7 linked regions of the Cricetulus griseus genome follow. The protein of the gene in region 5 binds, or shares a complex with, the protein of the main gene of each other region. Links are inferred from orthologs where the notes say so. Each region holds a gene or a part of one and is shown on either strand. Other genes may lie near its edges.

Region 1 (3,500 bases), on a different chromosome or scaffold from region 5:
ATAGCAACTTAATCCAGAAAAGTACCAAAGATAAAAATATTCACCCTCACTACATGTCTGTGTGTCTGTCCATTTCCAGTGCTCACATTAAGTGCACTCCTCTGACGAGCTATGTGGTCAGCATGATGGACCAACTATCAGCTCACTAACTTTGGAAAGAAATTTGCACTTTCCATACCAGTTCTAAGACATTTGTCCTAACATTTGTAGACTATCTAAACAAAAATACAATATACAAAAAGCAGTCTATGTAAAACAAATGCAAGCTTATTCCAATGAAAATTATCAAACTAAAAATTTTAATGTTGAGCAGTAAGGAACAGTTTATAGAATTATATGCACATTCTACCCATTTAAAAATCCTGAATTTTTCATAAGAATAGACCTTCAAGATGATGCTATGTGAGAAAAACAAGACTCAATAATAATAATAATAATAATAATAATAATAATAATAATAATAATAGAAAGACATACGAAAATAAATCCGTTTGAGGGTCTGTCCACCAGTGATAGTACTACCTGCCAGTCTAGGCTCTCTTATTCCACTTTTCACTACATCTACCTCTACAGAGAACTCTGAGTTCATTTTGTAACCAGGATGAAAAGTTCCTTCAGTAACAGTTACACAGAATTAACAAAAGGCTAGTAACATGCTTCCAAAGCAACTTTGAATGCCACTTTGCAAAACAGCATTGTTACCAGTTTTGACAGTAAATTTTACAGCATGTAGCAATCTTAAAAAAACCTATAACATCATCCTCTCTAGGAAGTAACTTAAGAAACAAACCCAACATCTTCCTTACTACCTTAATAGTTCTGTCAGCAGATCCAGTAACGAACCACTGATTTCCGGGTTCCACAGCAATGCATCGGACCCAGCCGAGATGCCCACTGATAACCTATATAACAAAAGAATGAAGTAAGTAGACTCATCCATACATTATTTAAAATGTATCCAATGTTAACCACAACCCAGATTTGAACTGCATCGCCTTCAAATATTAGTTCTATAAAATTGAGTTACATATTTTAGAGCAAGCAAAATTAATTTCTTTTCAATGAGCAAATGAATACTGAAACTGATGCATATCTAGACAAGGGAATACTACTAACCAAGAAAAAGGGATGCAATTTATCTCAAAATCATTGAGTGAAGGACACTATTATCAAGAAACATCTATTATACACTTGCAATTTCATGGCATAGTTTTTCTGTTTTAAAGATGCCAAGTATAATAACAGAAAATGGATCAGCAGTTGCCAGGAGTAGAAGAGTGTATAACTACCATAGTACAGGGTGCTCTGTGAGATGGTGTCATGATTATGGCAGTCGTTACTCAAATCCTCATCTGTTACTTCCATTAGACCCACACATTAAGTATAGAAGGTACAGTGTCTGAAAAGCAATTTATGCTGGCTGTCCATTTTCTATCTCATATTTTATTTTTGAACTGATGAATTTTGAGTCATCTTATAATTTATTACAGCTGGAAGGACCACTGGTCAAAGAAACATCTTTCTAAGGAATCTTCTTCTCTGTCACAGAAAACACTTCTCTCTTATCTGGTCTCCACAGTTAGTACCTTCCACCAATACTTTACACTGTATTTTATTTAGAAACAAGACACTAAGCAGCTTCACTTGGACATCTAAGCACAGTGCCCAAAGCTCAACCCCCTCGGTCACTCCCTAAGTTCCCAAACTCATTCTTGGCTGATGGGAAACCTTTAATGTGCACCGAGGCAGAAGGAAGTACAGACCCACTTACCCTGTAGAGTTTCCATGGTGGGTGCCACTGGGGTTTGGGCATCGTAGGGGCTTTTTTAGCCATTAATGCAGAATTCTTGGTATTGCCAGCCTCCATAATCATCTAGATGAGGGACAGATCACACAACTATTACAGCTATCATATTGAAGGTTTCAAGCCATCAATTCAAAAGTACAAATTGAAAGGACATATAAAAGGTTTTTTTTTTTTTTCTTTTTTCCCCCCATTAACTGAAGACAAAGACACCTAAAATACCCTTTCTTAACCTTAAAAAAAAAAAAAAAAAAAAGTATAAAGCTCCATCAGAACTCTGTATGTTCCATACTTTTAAAAAACCACCTGAGGCAGACAGAGAATCCTGAGCTCTGAGCAGACATCACTGTGGAGTTCCAAACCCAACTGAGCCAACCACAGTTGATCAACTTTAGGCAAAAACTTGGTAACCTCCCTTTATCTCTCCATCTTCTAATAGTAATTAAATATTATTTCAAAATATACACAACCTGATAAAAGTTGAGCATACTTAACCTAAAAATTTAAACTTTCAAATGTTCCAACAGCCACGTTTAGTTTAGGTATCACACTGAGTGTGCAATAGCTAATATATATGCTAATATATTACCCACCAGAACTAGACATTAAGACTCTATTGTTAAAGACACCACACACCTGGGTTGCAAGATACAGAGAAAACAAGATGGAACTGAAATGGAAACTCTCCTTAGCCAGCTTTCACAGAGTGGGAAGGTGCTGCACAGGCTCTCAGAGGAGATAAGGCATCAATGGTTCTAACCAGCTTTGACTCCTATAAACTTCAATAACAACTAGTTAGGCCAGACGTGGCCATTGGTATACTTGTGGCATTACTGTTATAGGAGTAATTAGCTGCTCTTTGCTTGGATTTGAGGTCTGCTACAAAGGAGGGAATCCATACATGGTACTATAAACCTGATCAAAAAAACATATGGCTAGGAAGTCTTCTATATATCTATCTTTATACCCATAGACAAATGCTACTCCTGGCCACAATGAGATGAATTTCTCTTTCAGGTCATAGTCATAAATGCAGAAGACTCATGGCTGTTCAAGGTTCTGACAGCAAGTAACAGTTGAGTGCTCAACACTAAGTAAGACATTTATACCCTCTCCTCTAAGGCTCAGCGAACCCTGCAGATGAGGATGTGGAAAGAATCTAAGAGCCAAAGGATAGGGAGGAGAGCTGAGCAATGCCACCTTCTGAGCCTAACACAGACACTGTAATCTTGCGATGGACCTACAGAAGACTAGCCCCATCAACAGACAGATGTGGATAGGGAGGGGTACATGGGGCCTACCCCTACCTGCTGAACTACTGACTACTGAGATTTTGGGAGAGGAGTCATTCTCTTCAGGTGTGTATCTACCACTGAGTCCAGCAAGCTCATGTGGATAATTCCAAACCCATGGTCTACACAAAGTCTGGTTAAACCCAGTTGGCGACTAAACAAAACATAAAGACATGAAGTACAAAGGAGGGTTGAGGAAGGCTAAAGGGTTGGAAGGAGAGAGTAATCAGAATGCATTTTTACATTTATGAAATGTCAAAAAAAATGTGTAATTAAGTTTAAAACATGCTTGTCAATATTCCAAGCCAAAAAAAAAAAAAAAAAAACCTAAAATCTGAAACACTTGCAGTCCAAGCACTTCGAATAAAGAATGCACAACCTAAGAAGCTACCATCAGCATCACC
Region 2 (4,121 bases), on a different chromosome or scaffold from region 5:
CAGAAAGAGGGCACCAGATCTCATTACAGGTGGTTGTGAGCCACCTTGTTTTGGTGGGAATTGAACTCAGGCCCTCTGGAGGACCAGCTTGATCTCTAAGCCATCTCTCTCCAGCCCTGGATCTTGCTTCTTGAACCCGGGGTCTCACCATGGCTTTCCGGTCTTCCTCAGCCATCTTGAGGCGTTTCTGAGCCTCTTCATAAGCCTGGGTAGAAGAAATCAGGTAAATAGGGTCATGAGGCCCAAAAGATATGCACATCTACGACCATTCCCCTCAGAATGACAAATGTCCTTCACTGCCCCTTCTCAGTGAAGAGCCTCTGTGATTTCCACCAAGCAGTGAGGCCCTTAACCAGAAAGCTCACAGGACCCTGTTTCCCCACACAGGAACCCTAGCGACAACCCTTGTCTTCCCAGCGACACCTCTGCAACCAAATCCAGATGTACCTAGCAATGTTCTTCACCTTTTTTTTTTTTTTTTTAAGATTTTATTTGTTATGTATACAGCCTTCTGCCTGCAGGCCAGCAGAGGGCACCAGATCTCACTCAAGGTGGTTTGAGCCACCTTGTGGTTGCTGGGAATTGAACTCAGGACCTCTGGAGGACCAGTCAGTGCTCTTAACCTCTGAGCCATCTCTCCAGCCCTGTTCTTCACCTTCTTATCTGATCGCTCCAGGACATTCCGGGTCCGGTCCTTGTCCCTCTGCCGCACCCGCTCTGCAAACGCATCCCGTTCCTCCAAGTCCTGAAGACGCTCGCGCTCTGTCCGCTCCCACTCATCCTCTGAGGCCGGCTTCTCCTCCGTGGGTGACTTACTGTCCCTGAACCCAGCCCAGCGCATCATCAAAGAGGGGTATCGAGAAAGCGTATCATCCCCACGGCCAACCACCTGCCCCGGCTCCCTCTCTCCTCGGTTCTGACTTACCCCGTCTTCCTCTTCCCTGCCTCAGAAACCTCTTCCTCGTCCTCTTCCTCCTCCTCGTGGTGTTTCTTCCTGAGGTGTTTCCGTCTTTTCCGCTTCTTCTGGAGGCTGCTCGAATCGCTGCCCACCGCTTCCTCCCCGCTCTCGCTGTCTTCCAGCAACTTATAAGATCGGTTCTTCTCCAGCAGGGCTCGGGCCTCTCGCTCAGCTGCCCGAGCTGGCTTTTCTACCACAGCCTTCCGTGGTACCTGTGAGTCGGAAACAAGCGGTTGTGAGCAGCTCCTGCCTCAGCCTCGAGCTCAAACCAGGCGTCATCATTCTCTGCTCAATCGGGCCCTCAGCGTCTGAACTTCCTTCCATGCATCTGTTTAGCAAATGATTATTGAAAACTACCCGATGGTGGAGGGCGCGACCCAGCACCCACAGGTTGCCCTCGGACATCCACCCACAAATGGATTTTTTTTTTTCTTTTGGTTTTTTGAGACAGGGTTTCTCTGTGGCTTTGGAGGCTGTCCTGGAACACTAGCTCTTGTAGACCAGGCTGGTCTCGAACTCACAGGCCTGCCTCTGCCTCCCGAGTGCTGGGATTAAAGGCGTGCGTCACCACCGCCCGGCCAAACGGATATTTTTTAAATGATTTATTTTTTATGTGCATGTGTTTTGCCTGCATTGTGTCTATGTGAGGGTGTTGGATCCCCTGGAACTGGAGTGACAGACAGTTGTGAGCCGCCTTGCGGGTGCTTGGAATTGAATCAGAGACCTCTGGAAGAGCAGCCAGTGACCTTAATCTCTGGGCCATCTCTCTAGCCCCACAACAGAATTTAAAAAAAAAAAAAAAAGGCCCAGAGTTCAAGTAGTTTACATTCTACAACCCAGTTCCCTTTTCACATTTATCTTTTATTTATTTACGTGTATGGGTACCTGTGTGCCACAAGAGACCTGGATGCTGGGAACTTCAGTCCTCCCGAAGAGCAACAAGGGTTCTCTCCGGGTCTCCATCCTATGTCTAAATCGCTAATTCCCACGGCTCCACTGTTCTCAGCGACTTTCCCCCAGTACTTGGGACTGAACCCCAAACTTACTGTACGCTAGACAAGCACTCTACCAACTGAGATACGTCCTCAGCCCTGGGGGGGGGGGGGCTGCACTGTATTCACCGTGGCTAACAGGACCCTAGGTTTAAGCATGCTTGCACAGCCCTCTCTGCTAAGTCTCCTCCACAGCTCTGTACCTGGGGTAACAGAGGGCAAAAGGTGGATGTTTGGCAGAGCCGGGCGGGAGTGCTAGGTCTCTCTGCTATGGGAGGCGCTCTCTGTCTCTCCGTCTTTCTCTCTCTGTGTGTCTCTGCAAGTTCGAAGCCAGCCCGTGCACTACACTGAAAGTTGCAGGCTATCCTCCGATACACTGCTAGCTTACGCTCCATCACCAGGCCAAAGACGAGCGTGCGTGCGTGCGTGCGTGGAGCGGTCTACATCAGCTCGGGTGGACGGCACACACCTTGCTCCAGAGCCTGAGCGCGAAGTCCCGCGCCGGCCCGCCAAGGTCCAGAGTTTCGGTGTCTCGCAGCCGCTGCACGAACTCCTCGGCCGAGGCGCAGCGCTGCGCGGTGCCGATCAGGAACTGCGCGACGTGCCGCTCGCTCAGCCCCAGCACCGAGTGCAGCTCCTCCTGCACCCACCGCTCCAGCCCCGCCGGCGTCGCCATGGCGACGCGTCCCGCTCCGGGCGCGCAGCCGCCGAGCCAGCCAGGGCGGCGGCGGGGCCGGGAGCGATCTGCAGCGCCGCGGGCCCCGCACCGCTGGTGGCCGTAGAGTCTCCCAGCGCAGAGCGCCGGACTGGGCAGCCCTCAACTGGCTTCCAGACCCGCCAAACCCGGAAAGAGTCGAGCTCTTCCGGCCGCAGCTTAACGGTGGCTGGGAGGGTTCAAGTCGCGCAGCCTCTTTCCCGATGCTCACCCAGCAAGCTCGCCCGCCCCCACCCGGTGATGTTGCGCTCGGTCAGCACCAGCCCTGTGTACTAGAAAGAGCGTTTCCAGAGAGTGCGATAAAAGGAAGAGAAATAAGGTTTAGGAAACAAGGCATAGAACAAGGTGCTGGGGATATTGCTCAGAGAACTCGAGTTCGATTCCCCCAGCACCCATATTGCTCAAAACCAACGATTCGTAACTCCAGCTCCAGGGGGAATCCAACGCCAAACACACACACACACACACACACACACACACACACACACACACACACACACACACACACACACCACACACACACACACACACACACACACACACACACACACACACACACACACACACACACACACACACACACACACACACACACACACACACACACACACACACACACACACACACACACACACACACACACACGGTTTTTCGAGACAGGGTTTCTCTGTGGCTTTTGGAGGCTGTCCTGGAACTCACTCTTATAGACCAGGCTGGTCTCAAACTCACAGAGATCCACCTGTCTCTGTTGGGATTAAAGGCGTGCTCCACCACCTCCCGGCAATTAAAACTATTTTTAAAAAGTAATTTAAAGCTACTTACTAGAAATATGTATGTTGGGCGGGAGTTCCGGTATCTTAAGATTTTTTTCTCGCCGGTCGTTGGCGGTGCACCCCTTTAATCCCAGCAGAGGCAGGGGGATCTCTGTGAGTTCCAGGCCAGCCTGGTCTCCAGAGCGAGTGCCAGCATAGGCTCCAAAACTACACAAGAAACCCTGTCTCTAAAAACCAAAATAAATAAATAAATAAAAGATTTTTTTCTCTTTTTTATTATTAATTTACTTTTTATATTCCGATCCCAGTTCCCCCTCCCTCCTTTCCACCCCTCCCTCCACTCCCCCTCCTCCCATCTGCTCCACAGAGAGGGTGAGGCCTCCCCAGGGAGGTCTACTAAGTCTGTCCCATCATCTCACTGAGGCAGGACCAAGGCGCCTCTCCAGCCCCACACCCCTGTGTCTAGGCTTGGCAAGGTATCTCTCCACGTAGGATGGGCTCCACTAAGTCAGTTTGTGCATTAGAGTTAGATCTTGGACCCACTGCCAGTGGCCTCATATATTGTCCCAGTCACACCATTGTCACCTATGATAAGGGAGTCTAGTTTGGTCTTATGCAGGTTCCCTAAGATTTTTTTTTTTAATTATTTATGTGCATGCGTGCTTGCCTTCGTATCGGCACCA
Region 3 (3,500 bases), on a different chromosome or scaffold from region 5:
TGGCTAGATTAAGGCAGTAGAATGTAACTTAAAAGTTTGGGGTACAGGGCCAGCCAGAGATGTCTTAGTGAATAAAAGAACTTGCCAATAATCTGTGAGAACCACATAGTGGAGAGAGAGACCTGACTCCCACAAGTTGTCCAGACAAATATTAAAGGCCTGGTGGTGCAGGCCTTTAATCCCAGCACTGGGGAAGTAGCCTGATCTATATAAGACCCTGTCTGTCTCAAAAAAAAAACCAAAACAAAAAACAAAAATAACTGTGTTAATATTTATCTATAAACTCAGCTCCAGAGTCTGAGGCCAGAAGGTAGCAAGTTCAAGACCATCCTGGGCTACATAAGTAGACTTTGCAAAAACAAAAGTCAGGTAGGAGTCTTAGGAAACAGTGCACTGGAGGTTGGCTTCTGTGTAAACTATGGAAGTGCAGAATTCGGTAGCTTGTCAACTGTAAAAATACCTCTTAGTTTTTAAGTCTGAACAACCCTTTGCCCTTGACATACATAGTCAAGGAAGGGGTTTCTCTGTGTCTTTGAGTATTTCCTTTCCACACACAAGAAAGTGATAAATATTGGATGCTTCTATAAATCATTGAAAAGTCTATTGGCCGAACAAAGGAAAATTGTAGCTGAATTGTAATAATTAAATGTGTTTTTTTTTTAATTCTGGTTTCCTGTAGCTTTTTACCTGCGCCCACACAACTATCTCAGGACCAACTTGAAGCTGAAGAAAGAGCAAGATCTCAGAGATCTCGGCAGACCTCACTGGTCTCCTCAAGAAGGGAGCCTCCCCCATACGGGTATCGGAAAGGCTGGATTCCTCGATTGTTAGAGGTAAGTACAGGCTGAAATTTATTACTTCACACTTGTAAAATAAATGTAAACTCTGGAGGATGTTCATTAACGGAAGTCATGGGGGTAAGTTCTGAAAGGAGGAACATGCTTGTTGTCATGGTTTGAGATCAGCAGACAGTCACTGTTTCATCTTACTGTGCTTCACTATTGAACTGGTACAAAAGGACCGAGCATTCTTTTACAAATGTAGGCCTTCCAGCCCATGAACAATAATAGGAGAGTAAGATGCAAATAAAAGAAGGAACAGATGGGGCCGGCAGGCAACGGCTGTTGTCACACAAACCTGACGATTTTAGTGTGATTCCCAGAACCTGTCCCTGGAACTTTTTTATAAGCACTATGGCATGTGAATGCGCCCCACTCGTCTCTCTCTCTTTCTTACTCCTTCCCTTCCATCCCTCCCTCTCTGTCACATACGCACAGACACATACTATTAATAATAAATAAAAATGTGAAATCTTTGAAAGGGGAAGAATCAGAGTGGGCTTTGCATTTGAGTTGTGTTCACTCCCGCCCCACCTCCAACAATGAGAATAAAACCACGCCGTAACTCTGAGAGGTAACTTTCCTGTAGAGGAAAAAGCCCATGGTGTCTCCTTTGCGGAGTTATTTCTCTGCTTTTGAAACCTTCAGTTCAAGAACGTTAGCACACGCCTGTCATGATGTTACATACTTCTTTAGAAGTGAGTATAAGCAGAGAAGAATTTAGAATGGTTGGATCATACCTCTATGATTTGTCTGTCACCAAAGAACAAATTTCCTTGACTGAGGCAGGTGGATCTCTGAGTTCCAGGCCAGCCTGGTCTAGAGTGAGTTCCAGGACAGACAGGGGCTACACAGAGAAACACTGTCTAGAAAACAAACAAACAAAAAAATCTCTGCTTTCATTAAGCCTTTTCTCTTTCCCAGTATATTTTCCTTTTTTTTTTTTTTTTTTTTTTTTTTTTGGTTTTTCGAGACAGGGTTTCTCTGTGGCTTTGGAGGCTGTCCTGGAACTAGCTCTTGTAGACCAGGCTAGTCTCCAACTCGAGAGATCCACCTGCCTCTGCCTCCCAAGTGCTGGGATTAAAGGCATGCGCCACCTTATTGCTACAGGTTTTTGTTTTTTGGTTTTTGTTTTTTTCATTTCCTAATTTTGCAATAACGTTATGAATGAACTACATCATTTTTGTACCCAGTTATTGTTGTTCTTTTTTGTTTTGTTTTTTAAGGTTCATTTATTTTATATGTATGGCTGTTTGCCTGTGTATCTGTGTGCCACATGCATGCAATGCCCTTGGAGGTCAGAAGAGGCCTTGGATCCCGTGAAACTGGAGTCACAAGTGGTTATGAGCCACCCTGTGGGTCCTGGGAACCAAACCTGAGTTCTCTGCAAAGAGCAGCCCCTTGTATCACTTTCTTACATGGCAATGATGTGGCCTTACAGATGAGGTGTCTGCCACCAGGCGTATTTATGGTCTTTGAATAGAACACTGCTTACCATCTTGTCTGAAGCTGTGTGCACTGTCTCCCATGTTTACCATGCCGCTGCCCACTAGAAAATAAGCACCTAAGAAAACCCTCCCTGCCTCGATCCGCATAGCCCTGGGGTTTGGGTGGTTTTCTTTGTTGTTTGGGGATTTGTTTTGTTTTTGTCTCTATTTTCATCTGGTCTTTATGCATCCTGCTATATGAAGGGAAGTCTTGCTGTTGTTAGTAAAGGATTTTGTTCTTGATTTTGTTCTCTCTGGAATTAGTGAGATGTACAGCAAGATAGAGAGAAGTTTTCCAAGAGACTGGAATACCTTCCTGTCTGGAACCAAAAGGTAGTGGTGACTGACATGATAGAATTGTAGTTGCTATCCCTTTTGAGAGGTTATAGATGTGCTTTTGGGGCGCCTGTCCCCAGATTACAGGGTGGGGACAGCAGGCCTCATTTTCTGTACAAGGGAGCCTTTGAGCTTTATGACATCTGGTGGCTGTTAGCCTTATAGTCTTAATTGATTATCAAAGGTTTCCTCTGTCCTGGTGGAGCAGAGTAGTTCATTTGGAAATCAAACTCAAATGGCCAGCTAATCTGAAAATGCCAGGGATGCTTTGAGGGGAGTGACTGTTCTGGGAAGAAGGCATTTTGTTCTAGTTTTCAGAGTAAAAGCTGTGATTTTCTGGCAGCCTTAATGACCACATAATGCTACAGCTACAGTTCTGAAGTGCTGATTATAGTTGAAGAACTCCAGCAAATCTGAGCATATGTCAAATTGATGGTCTGGATACAGGAAGCACTTTTCTTAGGAAGACTATTTCTGCCTAATTTACAAGAAAATATCTCTTTTTACTTCTGTTGGTTTTCAAAATTTTCAGCTCTCTCCAGTAAATAAGCATATTGTGCCAAGATCTAATGAAATACTGTGTGGGAAAAAGTCTTATAAAAATGAATTTGTTTTTCAATAAATACCCTCTTATTAATGAATTTCAGTGTTTTTGATAACATTCTTGGTAATATGGGTTGAGTGTGCCTTATGTACTATACTTAGTATCAGAAGTAGTTCAGATTTCATCGAGGGGGGAGTTGTTTTTTTGGTTTTTTTGGATTTTGGAGGATTTGCACAGACTTTATTGATTTAAAACTATTAGGGCAACCAGGCTTGGTGGTCTGTGCCGTTAATC
Region 4 (4,061 bases), on a different chromosome or scaffold from region 5:
ATGACTCTTTGGCATGTGATCCTGCCTTAGTCTCAGGTTCCCTACTGATCTTTGCACTCTGGAGTCCAACCTCTGGGGCAGGCAAAGGAGAACTGGAGACAGAGGGAGCAGGAGCCTCTGGTCTGGGGAGAAAAGAAACCAAGCCTGTTAAATGCACAGAAGGAAAGTAGCAGCTTCCCCGTGCCTCCCAAGCCTGAAGAGCAGTGTTTCCTAAACTGAGTTCCTGAGTTTTTTGTTTTTTTTTTTTTTCTTTTCCTCGGTTTTTTGAGACAAGGTTTCTCTGTGGCTTTGGAGGCTGTTGGAACTAGCTCTTGTAGATCAGGCTGGTTTAGAACTCACAGAGATCTGCCTACCTCTGCCTCCCAGAGTGCTGGGACTAAAGGCGTGAGCCACCACTGCCTGGCTAGTTCCTGAGGTTTTTTTGTTTGCTTTTTTGGAGATAGAGTACATATGATGGACCTGGAATTTACTAGGTAGATGAGGCTGTCCTTAAATTTACAGAGATCCACTTGCCTCTGCCTCCTAAGTACTGGGATTAAAAGTGTATACCACCACACCCAGCTTGAGTTCCATAAGATCTTAAATATTTTACATATGAAAGATTTTGGAATTAGGAACTTGAGAAAAGCCAGCTTAATAGTTCTACGCTTTTGCCTCAAGATTTTCCATAACCAGGTATGGTGGTACACACTTTTAGTACCTGCAGCACTTAAGGGGCAGAGAAAGGCAGATCTCTGTAAGTTTGAGGCCACCCTGGTCTAAATAGCAGGGTTCCAGGACAGCCAGGGCTACAAAGGGAGATCCCCTCTCAATAACAAACAAAAAAGTGTACCACTATGCCCAGATTATGTTACTTTTTTTTTTTTTTCCTCTGTAGCCCCGGCTGGCCTGGAACTCAGAGACCCACTGGCCTTGCTTCTGGAGTGCCAGGATTAAAGGCGTGTGCCACCATCCAGCAATAATGTTACTATTTTTTTGTGTGTGTGTGCATTATTTTGTTTTTCAAGGCAGGGTTTTTGTTTGTTTGGTGTAGACTTGGCTGTCCTGGAACTCACTCTATAGATCAGAGATCTACTTGCCTTGTCTCCGGAGTGCTGGGATTAAAGTGTGAGCCACCAACACCCGGCTAAAATTTATTTTAAAATCACAAACTATCACCAGGCGATGGTGTCCCACGCCTTTAATTGCAGTACTCAGGAGGCAGAGGCAGGGGGATCTCTGTGAGTTCGAGGCCAGCCTGGTCACCAGAGCAAGTGCCAGGATAGGCTCCAAAGCTACAGAGAGAAACTCTTGTCTTGAAAAACCAAAACAAAAAACAAAAACAAAACAAACCACAAACTATCATTTTTCTTTAAACAACATCTCCACAAGATTAGTGTTTCTCAGAGTACAGTTTGGAGAGCAGTAACTTCAGAACCATCTATTTCCTTCTACCCTTTCCCACTTCCGGATTTCCCCCTCTACAGACCTGTGCTTCCTCCGGCAGCAACTGCTATAGTGAGGAGCTCTGTGCAGAGCACTCTGGGTGATTAATCGAGTCTGGGTTAGCAAAGGTGCCTGGTTATCAAGAGAAGAAGACACAGTTGGAGATGTTAGGCAAAAGTCCTGTTGCATGCAGTACAGCCCTGCCTGAACAACACCTGACCAGATCTCTCACCTCGGCTTTGCTTTCTGTCTTCAATTCATTTTGCTGTCTTGGTTTTTGCTCTGTTTTCTTGCCTGATTGCTTTTTGCCATAGAAGAGCTTCAAACCTGAAAAGGAAAGCAAGCACAACATCAAGTAGACTGACAAAATGTTCAGAGTGTATTCTCTATCATTCCTCCACTCCCCGCCTTCTCCTGTACTTACTGGATAGGTGCTTCTTGCCTGCACGGTGGGCAGTCAGCATGGCCAGCGTGTCCAGGACTGGTCGATGGGGGCAGATAGCGCAAGCAAAGCTAGGGAAAAGAGAAGTGAATGGCAAACCCGTATGTGTTGGAGAGCCGGTGGTTGGGGTGTTCCTACTTAGGGGCTATGCCTGTCAAAGCACTCCACCAACGCCCAGGTCTCCCGATCGCCACCTCTTCCAATCTTCACTTCCAACCAAAGGATCTATTACACTCCTGATCTCCTTAGAAACCAAAGTCTGTTGAGCCTCTGATAGCAAATCCCCAGGCTTGATCCACTCTGCTCTCACCGTCCATCCCGCAGCATTAGCGCCTCATCCTCTGGGATGTAACTGGCCAGCAAGTCTCCAACTCTTCGTTTCTGCAGAGAGCAGGACAGGAGAAACGAATATGAGGGATGGATGAAAAGAAATAACAGGGATAAAGAGTCAAATGGAGCAGACCATAGGGTAAGAAGGAGGAGGCATCACTCAGTTCTGGCCCCCGAAACCCCCTCCCACAGATGTCGCCAGAGCAACAAAACAATGCAAAGCGCGACTGAAGCTGGGCTCTCCCTCTCTCTAGTTCTTTGATTTTTCGAGACAGGGTTTCTTCGTGTAGCCTTGACTGTTCTAGAGCTGGCTGTGTGGACCAGGCTGGCCTCGAACCTCAAACGCAACACGGACACACCGGCTTTTGCCTCGCAAGTGCTGGGATTCAAAGCGTGCGCCACCACTGCTCGTGGGTAGACTCTCACTAGGGCTTACTTTGAGCACATTGAGCTGACTCCAGTCGTCACCTTCCCTCTTGAAAGACATCACGACTGTGAGTCTTAGAAATAATAAATTCTCCTACGCCTACTTTGCCTCTCCTTCGGGCCACCGTAGGAAGAGTAGGTTATCGCCTTCCCTGCTTCCGGTCTTTTTCTGATTAAGTCTTTACTTCCGGGGATGCGTTTCCACGCATGCACCGCGCGAGCCGGAAGACCCGCCTCCAGAGCCCTGAGGGTGCCTGCATTTCCTATGATGCCCTGAGAACGCTTTGCCTTTTGGGAAATGAAGTCTTTTAGTTATTTTCTTTTTTTTGTTGTTTTTAAAAGACCTCACCGCTCACCTGAGTACAGGCACTCACATCGCGAAGGACCCAGGTGTTTGGAGACCAAGAACCTGTACGTGGAGCCGGAGTTTCAGGGTGGGACCCTCCTGGCGTGGAGCGAGGCTTCGGGGATCTCAGTGGACCGTGTACTGCAAACTCTCTCAGTCCCCAGGCTCACCGTCCACAGCCACGATCTACCTGGGGTGGGCCTGATTTGGAGCAGAGAGGATGTGGGGGCTCCCGGCGGCCCGGCTGCGGGACGTGGGGACACACTGAGGGGAGAGTGTTGATGAGGGTGTCTAGGGTTCAAAGGTCAGAGATCAGGCTTGCAAGGAGTTGGGGAGAGGGCGTCGAAAGTCGAAGGGGTCGGCGACCGACCACTCAGGGAAGATATTTATGGGCAAGGGTCTTGAGGAAGGAGAAATGTAACCGGCCTGGCAGCCTTCTTAGGGTACGGACTGTGACCCCAAGCTCGGTAAGCAGCAGCAAGAGGAGCATTGATGTAGTCTCTCGAGAGCGGGGACACTAAAGAGAGAAGTGAGAAGGAATTCCTAGAATATCTATCCATTCCTGGGGTTCGGCCCTCACTGTTGGTCACTTAGCTTTCCTCAGTTGTGACCCTAGATCTTGGCATCTTGAGATGGCTTCTCCCTCTAGACAGCCCCCACTTGGGGGGTCAGGGCTGCTGCATGGGAGCCGTGCTCGTTCTTATGGAAGCCTGGTACAATCATCGTGCTCCCCGGTGAGGGAAAGACGCTTGGAGCATCAGTTGGAGCCTGGAGACACCCTGGCTGGACTAGCACTCAAATACGGGGTGACGGTGAGTCTTCCAAGGATTGTGGTGTGGTGACCATTCAGGAGAGATTTAGTGCCCAGGAGAAACTGGGTGGTCTGCTAAGCGGCCTTCCCTGATGTTATATTAATTATATTGTGGTCTCTGCTTTGTCTTATTTTGTTTACACCTCTCAGGGTAGCACTATCCACACTCACAGACCTGCCCTACTATCCCAGTGGGAGGAGCAGCTCCTTGGATTGGGTTGGATGCCGGGATAGGGTGGTGGTTGGGGTGTGGTTTATAGCCATTAACCTATTTGGATCTT
Region 5 (3,942 bases):
GTCGGTGGGTTCTAGGCCACTCATTGCTTATAATGAGACCCTGTCTAAAAAGGGGAGAGGGAGGAATTTCAAAGAATATATATTCTGACCCTCCCAACCACCACCTGTTGTTAAGGCTGAACTTGCAACAACAGTCCTGCTCTCACCAAGAAAGAGAGAGAGGGAGAGAGAGGGTGGAAGGGAGGGAGGGAGGGAGGGATGGAAAGAGAGAGAGAGAGAGAGAGAGAGAGAGAGAGAGAGAGAGAGAGAGAGAGAGAAAGAAAGAAAGAAAGAAAGAAAGAAAGAAAGAAAGAAAGAAAGAAAGAAAGAAAGAGCTAGCACCCAGGCAAAGGGGTCCCAGCCTGGCAGTTCCCTGTCCTTTATGCCGAAGACCAGAAGACATTGCCTCATCCAAAAGCTCAGAAAACTGCAACATAGAAAGTATTCCAGGGCTGGAGAGATGGCTCAGAGGTGAAGAGCACCGGCTCCTCCTCCAGAGAACCCAGGTTCAATGCCCAGCATCCACATGGCAGCTCATATAGAGTTTGTCTTAGACTTGTGACAATTCCTCCTGCTTTGTAATTCCAGTTTCAAGAGCTCCTACACCCTCTCACAGACATACATGCAGGCAGAACACCAATGCACACAAAATAAAAATAAGTAAGCCGGGCGTGGTAGTGAACACTTTAAATTCCAGCCCGGCAGAGGCAGAGGCAGAGGCATTTTTTAAAGATTTATTTATTTATTGTGCATACAACATTCTGCTTCCATGTAGATATGCACACTAGAAGAGGGCACTAGACCTCATAATGGATGGTTGTGAGCCACCATGTGGTTGCTGGGAATTGAACTCAGGACCTCTGGAAGAACAGTCAGTGCTCTTAACCTCTGAACCATCTCTCCAGCCCGATTTTGTGTATATAAGCATTTTGCCTGCATTTATTTATGTGTGTCACCTGCGGAGTTCGGAAGACAGTGTCGGATCCCCTAGACCTGCATTACAAATGGTTGAAAACCTAGGGAGAATCAATCTGCCACCACGGTTATATCACTGAGAACTACATTTCCCAGAATGCGCGGCGCGGCGCGTTCCTATGACATTTCAAACCGTTTACCAGCGTGATCGGTTTTTCCCACGGCTTCAAGACCTGTCCTTGAGGCATTGCGTCTCGGCCGGCCCCTAGCGAATTGAGCTTAAACTAAACTTCCCAGCAAGCAGTGCGCTAGCCTGGGACTCGGGACAAGATGGCGGACCCAAACAGTGTGCCGCGGGCTGCCCCTTCAACGGCCCCGATTTCTTTCGGTTTCACTCGCACGTCTGCCCGGAGGCGACTGACAGACCCCAGAGATGGCACAGGACGGGCCTCTGAGGAGAAAGATTTCTTAACGACCGTGGAAGGAAGGGAGCTACAGAGGTGAAACGCTGGGTCTTTCACGTTTTGGAAATCGGTGCGGTGGGCGGAGGGCAGAATACGAGTTGTTTGCCCTGATGACAGTGATTTAGAAGGCCTCAAACACGGCCTCAAGAAGTTTATGGAGGCATCCGGGAGTGGTGGCAAATGTTTATTAATGTCAGGACCCGGGAGGTTGGCACCGGAGGATCAAGAGTTGAACGCTAGCCTGGGCTGTATGAGAGCCTATATTTAAAAAGAGAGAAAAATAATTAAAATTTAATTTATTATTAAATTTAATAATTTAAGGGCAAGGAGGAGGTTTGTTAGAGAGGTGGGTGAAAATGGCGCCTGATAACCAAAGGTATATATTCCTCAGAGAAAAAGTCATTGGGACTTGAGGACATGTGCGTTTTGAGAAAGGAAAAGGAGGGAGAATGACAAGACTTTTAGTGTCTCAACTGAAATAGTGGAAGCTTCTCCGATTTGGAGAATGCGGCAAATACAGGTTTGGGGAGGCCATCAGCAGCATAATTAAGAAACTGATCTGAAAGACCTAAGGGAGGGACTAATGGAAGACAGCTGTCCGGAAGGCTGTTTGCTAGCCTGAAACTGGGGAGAATCTCGACCGAAGATGGTGATTTGTAAGTCATTGTGGTTGAGAGTCCAGGAATGATTTCCATAAGACACATTTAAAGCTGAGGACACGAGGAGAGGTGATGCTTGCTTGTAATTTCAGCACTAAAAGGTTGCACCAAGAGGACAGAGTTTATAAGACCAGACTGGGCTACATAGTGAGATAACTGTTTCGAAAAGAAATGGGAGGACCTGCGGAAAAATAACTTGTGGAACATGGTCCTTCGGCTGGGTGTAGATATCTCCACTTTCTAACACTTGTACTTTCCTAACCTTTTCTCTCTGTCCCCACATCAGTGTGAACCCTCCAGAAGCCCCCAAGGAACTAGTCATCCCATTGATCCAGAATGGCTCTCGGAGGCAACCACTGGCCAAGAGCCCTAAGACATCCTCAGAAACTAAGACTGTATTAATGTCAGATGGTGTGCTGTCCCAGGCTGTGAAGGAGCTCATTGAGGGTAAGTGAAACCTCCCCCTTTGCTCTGCCCCAGTACAGGTAGACAAGGAGGAAGTTGGAAGGATAGAGTATGGCCTCATTGATCCTCCCATTCTTCCTTAGAATCCAAGAAGTCCCTGGAGGAGAGGGAGAATGCAGGTGTTGACCCCACGCTCACTATTCCCATGATCCAGAAAGGATGCAATCCCAGTGGGGAAGGAACAGACAGCGAACCTCAGGCTGAGACAGTGAGCTGCCCCTTTGCCATCCTCCCCCATCATTGCCTCTACCCCGTCTGGCTAGCCTCCTTGCACATAGCAGGGAAACTGTGCATGTGTGTCCCAGAGCCTTGCCAACTAGCCTTTCTCCCTTCCATCCTTATTAGAAGCTTTAACAAATAGATAGCAGGCTGTCCCAAAAAGTACTTGAATTCTGGTATTATCTGATAGAGGTGGACAGCAGAGTGGATGGGAAATACAAATGCTATCAGAGTACACACTGTTGGGAGGCAGAGGCAGGCAGATCTCTGTGAGTTCGACAACAGCCTGGTCTACAGAGTGAGTTCCAGGACAGCCTCCAAAGCCACAGAGAAACTCTCAGAAAAAAAGAAAGAAAGAGTACACACTCTTTGGAACCACTTTTGCTTGTTTCCTCTTTTTTTTCCTTCTTTCCTTGTTCTTTTTAAACGTGTAGTATGTAAAGAACTCTAAGGAAACCAGTGTGACTGGATTGGAATGAATGAGGGGTCAGGCCATAGATGAAGGCAGAGGTGACCAGATCAAAAGGGCCTTCTGAGCCACGGGGAGGACTTTTTCTTTTAGTGTGAGTGAAATGAGAGCTATGGGAAAATTCTGAGCTGACAAGGGTTGTAACAGGATCCCCTCTGGCTGCTGTGACCCAAATATGACTAATAGTGAAGGTAAGGAGGGAAGCAAGTAGCCTAAGTTCAGGATAGAGGCGGTAAGGACACTCAGAAGAGTGGCAGGAATGAAGCCTGGAAGGTTAGGGTCTGGTGAGACAAGAAAGAGATATGTCTCAGTACATTTTTGCTTTGTTTGTTTTTGTTGTTGTTTTTTGAGACAGGGTTTCTCTGTGTAGTTTTTGGAGCCTATCCTGGCACGCGCTCTGGAGACCAGGCCTCGAACTCACAGAGATCTGCCTGCCTCTGCCTCCCGAGTGCTGGGATTAAAGGCGTTCGCCACCAACGCCCCGCCAATAATGAAGTTTTTAGTCATAAATTTGTTGTAATACATCTTTCAACTGAACTATTCTCATCAGTCTTCAGATGTGCTTTGGGTTTTTTCTTTTTGAGACAGTTTTATGTAGTTCAAGCTGGCCTTGAATTCATTATGTTGCCAAGAATGACCTTGAACTTGTGGTCTTCGTTTCTCCACCAGTATCAATCAGGCTTTTTGTTCTCTCCACCCCACCCCTTTTTTGAGACAGGATCTCACTCTATATCCATGGTAGCTGTAAGTTTCCATGTGATTGCTGGGAACT
Region 6 (4,032 bases), on a different chromosome or scaffold from region 5:
TGGGATAGACAGATAAGACAAATTTTAGCCGGGCGTTGGTGGCTCACACCTTTAATCTTAGCCCTCAGGAGGCAGAGGCAGGTGGATCTCTGTGAGTTCGAGACCAGCCTGGTCTACAAGACCTAGTTCCAGGACAGCCTCCAAAGCCAGAGAAACCCTGTCTTGGAAAACAAAATAAAACAAAAAAACAACAAAAAGAGCACCCCACACTTTCTGATTTTTTATTTTGGAGGCTGGCCTCTAACATGATCATGGTGATCCCTCTGAGTGCTGAGATTACAGGAGTTTGTCACCAACTTACTATCATTATGCTTCTGGAATAACCTTTCCTTCAGGCCCCTCAGACTCAGTGCTCACCTATCAAAGGCCTTCACCCGTCCCAGGAGCTTTTTGTTGTTTCGACAGTTAATGAGCACTTGTGTGTTGTTCTTGACCGACTGTGTGAGCACCGAGAGGGGACCAGTGTTGAATTCCTCCTCTTCCCGCTTCTGCAGCTCTTCTGGGGTCATCTCACTCTTGGGTTTATTGAGGAGACTCCTGAATAGAAAAACCACGGGTGAGATGGGTGAGCTTGGAAGTGTGAGTGATCAAAGGCACTGTCCAGTGTCTCCTCAACCTGGTCCCCAAATGTCCTTTTCAGAGGTGGGAGAGACATTGTCTATTTAGCCCGTTCCAGCTGTCTAACCACCAAAACCTCTCCCACCCACGCATTCCCCACGTCTTCACTGATGGCAACTCTATTCAGCGGGTTCTCTAAGCTAGAACTCTACTGTTTAATTGATTTCTGTTTTGGTGACAGGATCTCCTATAGCCCAGGTTAGCCTTGAACTTGCTATATAACTAAGGACGACCTTCAATTCTCAATTCTCCTGACTCCACCTCCCAAGTTCTGGGATTACAGGAGTTCAACATCAAGCCCGGCACTCTCTTAAAGGAAATCTACCCTCACATCTTGTCATCTGCCTCTACGACATATCCAGAACCTGGCTATTTCTATCCATGGCCTAATCTTCCGTTACCTTTCTCCTGGTGCCCGCCATCCCCACAACAATGTCTTACTGTGTAACCCTGGCTGACCTGAGACTCAGACTATCCATCTCTGCCTCCAGACCTCTGGGATTACAGGCATGCTGCCACTATACCCAGAACCCAAGGTAGCCATGTACTCTGCCCACTGAGCTATAACTCCAGCCCAGTGTTGCATTTTCAGTCTTTTTTTTTTTTTTTTTTTTTTTGTGGTAGCTACTCAAATTTCTTCATCCGCACTCTCCATCATCTAACACGTTCTCTGGTCTTCCTACCCCATTCCTTTTACCAGCCCCAGTGAGAAAAACTTTCTCTCGGTGGCACGGACCTTTTATACACCGTGTGTCTAACTTAACAACCAGTCTGTGTAACACCTGCTTGGTGAATAAACACATCAAACCATGGCAGTAGCTTGCTACTCTGAGAGTCTCCAGGCAGATTGAAAAAGCCCCCCTGTCTGTTTTCTACCTTATCCTGGTTAAGTCCCTCATTATGATTTTTGCTTGTTTGTTTTTTTTGGAGAGCCTTTCACTATTTTTTAATAGAACTCCCTTCCCCTGCCGAGACCTTTATCCATTTACGGCTCCCATTTAAAATTACTATTACTTTTGGAAACGGTCTCCATGTGCAGCCCAAGGCTGGGCGCGAATTCACCATCCTCCTGCCTCACTCAGCCTCTCTTGGGCATGTGCCACCAGGCTCAGCTTTCCTCTTACAGCTCTTTTCACAAGACTCAGTACAGAGCAGGGTCCCACGCCCGTTATGCTGTCGGGGCTGGAGAGATGGCTCAGGGGTTAAGAGCACTGGCTGCTCTTCCAGAGGTCCTGAGTTCAATTCCCAGCAACCACATGGTGGCTCACAACCATCTATAATGAGACCTGGTGCTCTCTTCTGGCACGCAGTGTATACATGGTTAATAAATAAATATAACCACATGGTGATTTACAACCATCTGTAATGGGATCTGGTGCTTTCTTCTGGCACACACTGTATACATGGTAAGTAAATAAATAAGTAAATCTTTTAAAAATAAAAATGAGGGGGGCTGGAGAGGTGGCTTAGGGGTTAAGAGCACTGACTGCTCTTCCAGAGGTCCTGAGTTCAAATGCCAGCAACCACATGGTGGCTCACAACCATCCGTAATGAGATCTGGTGCCAGATCTGGTGCCTTCTTCTGGCACGCACTGTATACATGGTAAGTAAATAAATAAATCTTTAAAAAATAAAAATGAGGGGGGCTGGAGAGATGGCTCAGAGGTTAGAGCACTGACTGCTTTTCCAGGGGTCCTGAGTTCAATTCCCAGCACCCACAGGGTGGCTCACAACCATCTATAATGGGACCTGGTGCCCTCTTCTGGCTCGCACTGTCTACATGATGAATAAATAAATAAACTTTAAAAAAAAAGAAAAAGAAAGAAAGAAAGAAAGAAAAGAAAGAAGAAGCTGTCCGGCTCCGGAACTCCAGACCCGTCCTTCCAGGCCCCACGCCCGTCCCCTAACACCTCAGGAGGAACCTCTGCCCCCGCTACGAGCACCCCAAGCCGACAGTCCACCTGCTAAGCCGCCCGCGTCCCTCCCTCCACCTTCGCGTCCCCGCGGGAGCCCAGCCCGGCCTCACATGGTGGAGGTTTCGATCGCAGCTCACTCCCGCCTCCGCCGCGTTGCCGTGTAGCCTCCGGAGTAGAGCGAGCGGAAGGCGGGACTTCCGCCTCCCTCCTCTGGGATCACTTCCGTCGGCGCCTGCGCAACCCGCCCCAGCGGCGTGGGCGTGTCACGTTGCCATAGCGACCCGGCGGCGGCTCTCTGCCGTAGGAAATGCCTGGAGGGAGGATTCCATGTCAGTGAGGATCACAATAGGGGGACCCCCCCGCTCGCGACTAAACAAAAAGGGGGAGCCGCCGGGCCTGGCTCGAATTAACTCCCCGTCTGGGTGGAAGAAGAACGGGGGCGGGGAGGAGGCGGGGACACGACACACAGCTCCGTTTCCAAGCGCGCGGCGCCCGCCTCCTCCTGGGGGGGCGTGGCCTCGAGCGAGCCAATCGCCTCCTTGCTTCAGGGATGGGCGCCGCCCGTTTCTCCTTGATGGACACCTGAGGGCGGCGGGCGCGGCTTCCGCACGGTCAGCCGCCACTCATTGGCTGCGCCTCTTGCGTGGGGGGCGGGCCCTCGGGTCTGCGCACCGCCTTCTGGAGAAGAAGGAGCCAATCGCGGCCGTCTGCGCGACGATGCCGCCGCCGCTCTGCTTCCCTATTGGCTTGCGTAAGCGATAGGGGGGAGGGGCGGAGCCTGGCCTGGACTCAAACCTCAGTCTGGGACGACCGGCTTCGGGGCCCCGCTGCTGCCATGAGTCCCGGGAGCCGCGGGCGGCCCCGGCAGCGGCTCGGGGATCGCGGCGCGATGCAGCCGCCCTCGCTTTCCAAGCGCCGCCTGCTGCCGCGAGTGCAGCTCCTGCCCCTGCTGCTCTTGGCGCTCGCCCTGGGCTTGGCGCTCTTCATGGTCTGGAACGGCTGGCACCCCGAGGTTCAGGAGCTGTCACGCAGCCGGGATCTGCGGGTGAGGCCTGCCTGGGGCCCCGGTCCCTCCTCCGTTTCCCGTGCCGAGCGGGTGACATCTCTTTCTCCATCACTCAAGCAAGCGCACGCCCCTGCCTCGCCGTCCTGGAGATGCAGGCGGTCAGCCTAGCAACGCGGGCAGATCTGAGCTCCGCGCCCCAAGACATCTGTTTGCAAGGTTCCCGTCAGGGCTCTAATAGTAGCAGGGGCCAGATCTGCCTTGAAGACGCCCTCCCGCTCTAGGGTGTATGCATGTGAACTCCAAGTCTTTGCTGCACCACCAAGAAGAGTCAGGGCTCCCAGGGGGCAGCGGCGCCCAGGAGAGGGTGGGGATGGGGGGTTTTGTCTTCATTCTTCTCTTCCCCACCAAGGTCCCGCTGATTGGAAGCCTTCCGGAAGCCAAGCTACGGACGGTGGTAGGGCAGCTGGATCCGCAGCGTCTCTGGGGCACTTT
Region 7 (3,500 bases), on a different chromosome or scaffold from region 5:
GCACTGTGGCCACTTCTGAGCTGTAATAGTAACAGAGCCACTACTTGTGTGTCTGGGTGATCAGCCACACAAGAATATTTACTGTCTGGTCCTTACAGGAAGTGTGCTGATCCCTAACAACAGGCTAATTAGCTTGAATATGCTGCTACTGTAAACACCTTCAAAAAGCAGCTAAGGAGACAGGAATAAAAAGAAGTGAAGGTGTCACTCAACTCTTAGAAATACCAACACATTAGATGAAACTCCAATAATTCTTAAGACCTTAAAAAAATGCCTACTTATTCCTTAATAATCAATCAGAAAACCACCAACAGTTAGGCATTTAACAGTTGCCCACTAGTGGCATGCCAATGACTCTTCTTGAAAATTAAAAAAAGATACAAAACATAAAACTATTTATTACAGGAGTGGCACTCTATGCCAAACTTTAATGAGAACCATTACTTGATGAGAACTGTTATGCTTTCTTCTATCCTGAGTTTGGACAGCTCTGAGTTCCATGTCCTCTTTTCTGAATTCTTCCTTGACCCTTCTGACTCACATGAACTCTTTCCCCCACGTGCTTGGTGTTGGTCCACATGAGTGCTTTTCCCTCAAGTCTTTTTCTCTTTTTAAAAAAACAAAACAATTACTGGCTGAAATAAAATCCCACACCAATATCCACACAAAAGCTGTGCTGATTTGGTTGAATATGGAGCAGAGGCCTCTAACTTGATGCTATCTGTGTTCAAGATAAAAATCACCTCTTTCTCTCAACAGACCCAGGCTTCTGTCTCCACAGAAACAACGCACCCAACAATGGAGATCATTTACCTACTTTCCTGACAGCTTTACCATTAACACCTCTCTCACTTGCAATTCTATTTTTCTTTTAATTTTTATTTTATCTGGTGTTTTGCCTGCAGGTTTGTCTATGCTCCACATTCATGCTTGGTGACTGAGGAGGCCAGAAAGAAGTGTCAGATTCCCTAAGACTGGAGTTTCAGATGTTACCACCACATAGGTGCTGGGAATCAAACTCGGGTCCTCTGCAGGAGCAGTCAGTGCTCTTAATCACTGAGCTATCTTTCTAGTTCTGATTTTCAACTCCCACCATGCAGATTATAGTTCATTTCATTGCATATGAGGAGTACTGAAACAGCCTCAGACTTTTTCCAATCTCTCTACTTTTGCCAGAAGATTGATTAATCCTGCTGAAATCCATGAACCCATCTAAGCAAAACCCCAATTTCCTTAGTATTGCTTTACAAACTCCAGCACCGTTGTACACACTCTACTTTCTTGAGGCAGTCTCGCTATGTAGCCCAGGATGCCCTCAACCTTGAAAACCTGCCTGCGCTCTCAGCACTGGGACCTAGCTTACTGATTCTTTGACTTGGATATTATTTTCTCCCATTGTATAGGTGAAGAGACTGTGGGTATTAAACAGTTAGGTAACTTGCTTGGATTGTATAAAACCTATTCAGTTTTTTGAGACACATGTCTCAAGTTAAGCAGGAGACAGGAAGAGAATCTTTGTAGACCATTGGTTCTCAACCTATGGGTTGCAACCCCTTTGGAGAGGCTGGGCAGTTGAATCACCCTTTCATAGGGGTTGCCTAAAACCATTGGAAAACACAGATATTTACGTTATGATTCATAACAGTAGCAAAATTATAATTACGAAGTAGCAATAATTTTACGGTTGGGATCACCACAACATGAGGAACTGTGTTAAAGGGTCCCAGCATTAGGAAGGTTGAGAACAAGTGAGGCAGACTATCTTACATTTAATTAGAAGACTAAAGTTCACTAGCTTATTCTTAAGCAAATTGAGCATTATTCATGTGTGAACTATCTGAAAGGAATTTAATGTAACTAGGGGAGGTAGAATGCCATTTTAAAAAGACAGATCTATAGGTGTTACAGTATTTGGACATGGTGCTTTCTAATAAATGATACCACCAGAGTTAAAAAGAATTGTGGTTTAAATGTGTAATGGAGAGATGTGAATAGCAAACACTATTACCTTTCTGGCCTGCTCTTCAGCTCTTTCCTTCTTTATTTTTTCCAGCTCTGCAAGAAGAGCTGCCGTATCATCATCATCGCTCTCCTCTTCAAAATCCTCATCTTCCTCCTATGACAGATCAAGGTGACCCAGGATCCAGAAAGAAAATATACTTTCTCACAGAAACTATATTCACCAAGTCTTTAGAATAGAATCAATTTTCCTAATTGAAAAGCAAATGTACCAAATATCATAGTTAAGACCAACAACCAATAAAAGTATAATAAATAAAACCCAACAAAAAAAAATGTATGAATACTAACTAAAATGCCAACCCCTGATAAAGTACCTTTCATATTTAGATAGTCAAAACGGATTTTCTTTTTTGGGGGGCTAGAGAGTGTCAAGACAAGGTTTTCTGTGTAACAGCTCTATCTGTCCTAGAACTTGCTTTTAGACCAGGCTGACCTTGAACTAACAGAGATCCACCTGCCTCTGCCTCCTGAGTGCTGGGATTAAAGATGTGTACCACCACCACCAGGTCAAAAAGGATTTTCATACGGAAACATTCCAAAACAAGTAATGCTTCAGAATGAAACACAGTACAATGTACAGTGTCTCACCTCAAAAGAGTTCATTCATGTAGCTCAAAATGACTAGATTAGTAGGTGAGGATGCTAATATTCCAAAAGAAAATATTTTGAGTGAATAACAGAATTTCCCTTAAGGTAAGGTTTCTTATTTTAATAACTCTGTGTACTCTATAATTGTTGACATATGTATGCAATTAGATACTGCTTAAGAAAGGTCATCCTTGTATGTTCAGTTCTATAAAAAGTGGCAAAGTGAAGTTGAGAGCCAGGTGTAGTAGACACAGTTGTAAACCCAGCACTCAGGAGGCTGAAGTCTAAGGCTGGAAGCCTGTGATTACTAGGCCAGCCTGAGCTACAGACAACAACAACAACAGCAACAATAACAAAAGGCTGTAGGGTCCCAGTAAGCATTTATGCTCAATCTGTTCAGATTGAGGGGCCCATGTGCATTATGTGTCTAAGTAGGACATGGTATCTAAGGAAAAGAAAGTGCAGAACTAGGTAGAATGCTCAAAGGTGCTGTTCATAGGCACTCAGCCTGAGAGTGTCCTGTGGAGTTACAGCAAGGCAGCTTAACCTTCTACATGACTGACAATTCAGTCACAGGTGGGCATGTCCTTTTTCACAGACTGCTTTCATGCAGCCCTCCAAACTAAACCTCTAGTAAAAGATTTGAGGCAGAAGAATACTTTGTTTTAAAAACAATTATTAAGTTTAAAGTTGAGGTAAATGATACATTTCAGTAACAGTAGGTAAAAATAAATACCGATCATTTCACAAAGTCAAAATAAAAAAAAATAAAGAAAATATGACAAGTTGGGCCCAATGGCAGAGGCCCATTTCTAGCACTTAGGAGGTGTTAAAAAGAGAACAACAACAAAAAAGCCAACCCCAAAACTACATACATCTGTGAGAGGATC

Evidence for each region.
Region 1: Gpkow (region 5) and Plrg1 share a complex: the UniProt entries of both Homo sapiens proteins name them as parts of the minor spliceosome. The link is inferred for Cricetulus griseus from reciprocal best matches to the Homo sapiens genes GPKOW and PLRG1.
Region 2: Gpkow (region 5) and Dhx16 share a complex: the UniProt entries of both Homo sapiens proteins name them as parts of the minor spliceosome. The link is inferred for Cricetulus griseus from reciprocal best matches to the Homo sapiens genes GPKOW and DHX16.
Region 3: Gpkow (region 5) and Snw1 share a complex: the UniProt entries of both Homo sapiens proteins name them as parts of the minor spliceosome. The link is inferred for Cricetulus griseus from reciprocal best matches to the Homo sapiens genes GPKOW and SNW1.
Region 4: Gpkow (region 5) and Scnm1 share a complex: the UniProt entries of both Homo sapiens proteins name them as parts of the minor spliceosome. The link is inferred for Cricetulus griseus from reciprocal best matches to the Homo sapiens genes GPKOW and SCNM1.
Region 6: Gpkow (region 5) and Snrpd2 share a complex: the UniProt entries of both Homo sapiens proteins name them as parts of the minor spliceosome. The link is inferred for Cricetulus griseus from reciprocal best matches to the Homo sapiens genes GPKOW and SNRPD2.
Region 7: Gpkow (region 5) and Cwc15 share a complex: the UniProt entries of both Homo sapiens proteins name them as parts of the minor spliceosome. The link is inferred for Cricetulus griseus from reciprocal best matches to the Homo sapiens genes GPKOW and CWC15.

What each region holds. Positions count from the first base shown.
Region 1 is NW_023276806.1:71,276,789-71,280,288, forward strand, and holds part of Plrg1 (pleiotropic regulator 1), read right to left. Parts: intron 1,874-3,500; coding exon 1,772-1,873; intron 903-1,771; coding exon 810-902; intron 1-809. UniProt on the Homo sapiens protein: Involved in pre-mRNA splicing as component of the spliceosome. Component of the PRP19-CDC5L complex that forms an integral part of the spliceosome and is required for activating pre-mRNA splicing.
Region 2 is NW_023276806.1:229,782,775-229,786,895, reverse strand, and holds the start of Dhx16 (pre-mRNA-splicing factor ATP-dependent RNA helicase DHX16), read right to left. Parts: upstream 2,801-4,121; 5' UTR 2,627-2,800; coding exon 2,420-2,626; intron 1,171-2,419; coding exon 926-1,170; intron 822-925; coding exon 656-821; intron 206-655; coding exon 149-205; intron 1-148. UniProt on the Homo sapiens protein: Required for pre-mRNA splicing as a component of the spliceosome. Contributes to pre-mRNA splicing after spliceosome formation and prior to the first transesterification reaction.
Region 3 is NC_048598.1:116,328,735-116,332,234, forward strand, and holds part of Snw1 (SNW domain-containing protein 1), read left to right. Parts: intron 1-679; coding exon 680-833; intron 834-3,500. UniProt on the Homo sapiens protein: Involved in pre-mRNA splicing as component of the spliceosome. As a component of the minor spliceosome, involved in the splicing of U12-type introns in pre-mRNAs.
Region 4 is NW_023276806.1:61,367,317-61,371,377, reverse strand, and holds the start of Scnm1 (sodium channel modifier 1), read right to left. Parts: upstream 2,801-4,061; 5' UTR 2,685-2,800; coding exon 2,634-2,684; intron 2,249-2,633; coding exon 2,178-2,248; intron 1,939-2,177; coding exon 1,850-1,938; intron 1,753-1,849; coding exon 1,658-1,752; intron 1,558-1,657; coding exon 1,469-1,557; intron 123-1,468; coding exon 1-122. Other genes in the region: Lysmd1 (lysM and putative peptidoglycan-binding domain-containing protein 1), read left to right, coding at 2,922-3,034, 3,586-3,781. UniProt on the Homo sapiens protein: As a component of the minor spliceosome, involved in the splicing of U12-type introns in pre-mRNAs. Plays a role in the regulation of primary cilia length and Hedgehog signaling.
Region 5 is NC_048604.1:114,159,224-114,163,165, forward strand, and holds the start of Gpkow (G-patch domain and KOW motifs-containing protein), read left to right. Parts: upstream 1-1,142; 5' UTR 1,143-1,224; coding exon 1,225-1,394; intron 1,395-2,303; coding exon 2,304-2,464; intron 2,465-2,565; coding exon 2,566-2,690; intron 2,691-3,942. UniProt on the Homo sapiens protein: RNA-binding protein involved in pre-mRNA splicing. As a component of the minor spliceosome, involved in the splicing of U12-type introns in pre-mRNAs.
Region 6 is NC_048602.1:28,213,612-28,217,643, forward strand, and holds the start of Snrpd2 (small nuclear ribonucleoprotein Sm D2), read right to left. Parts: upstream 2,801-4,032; 5' UTR 2,647-2,800; coding exon 2,645-2,646; intron 538-2,644; coding exon 358-537; intron 1-357. Other genes in the region: Qpctl (glutaminyl-peptide cyclotransferase-like protein), read left to right, coding at 3,370-3,579, 3,950-4,032. UniProt on the Homo sapiens protein: Plays a role in pre-mRNA splicing as a core component of the spliceosomal U1, U2, U4 and U5 small nuclear ribonucleoproteins (snRNPs), the building blocks of the spliceosome.
Region 7 is NC_048597.1:127,979,322-127,982,821, reverse strand, and holds part of Cwc15 (spliceosome-associated protein CWC15 homolog), read right to left. Parts: coding exon 3,486-3,500; intron 2,117-3,485; coding exon 2,009-2,116; intron 1-2,008. UniProt on the Homo sapiens protein: Involved in pre-mRNA splicing as component of the spliceosome. Component of the PRP19-CDC5L complex that forms an integral part of the spliceosome and is required for activating pre-mRNA splicing.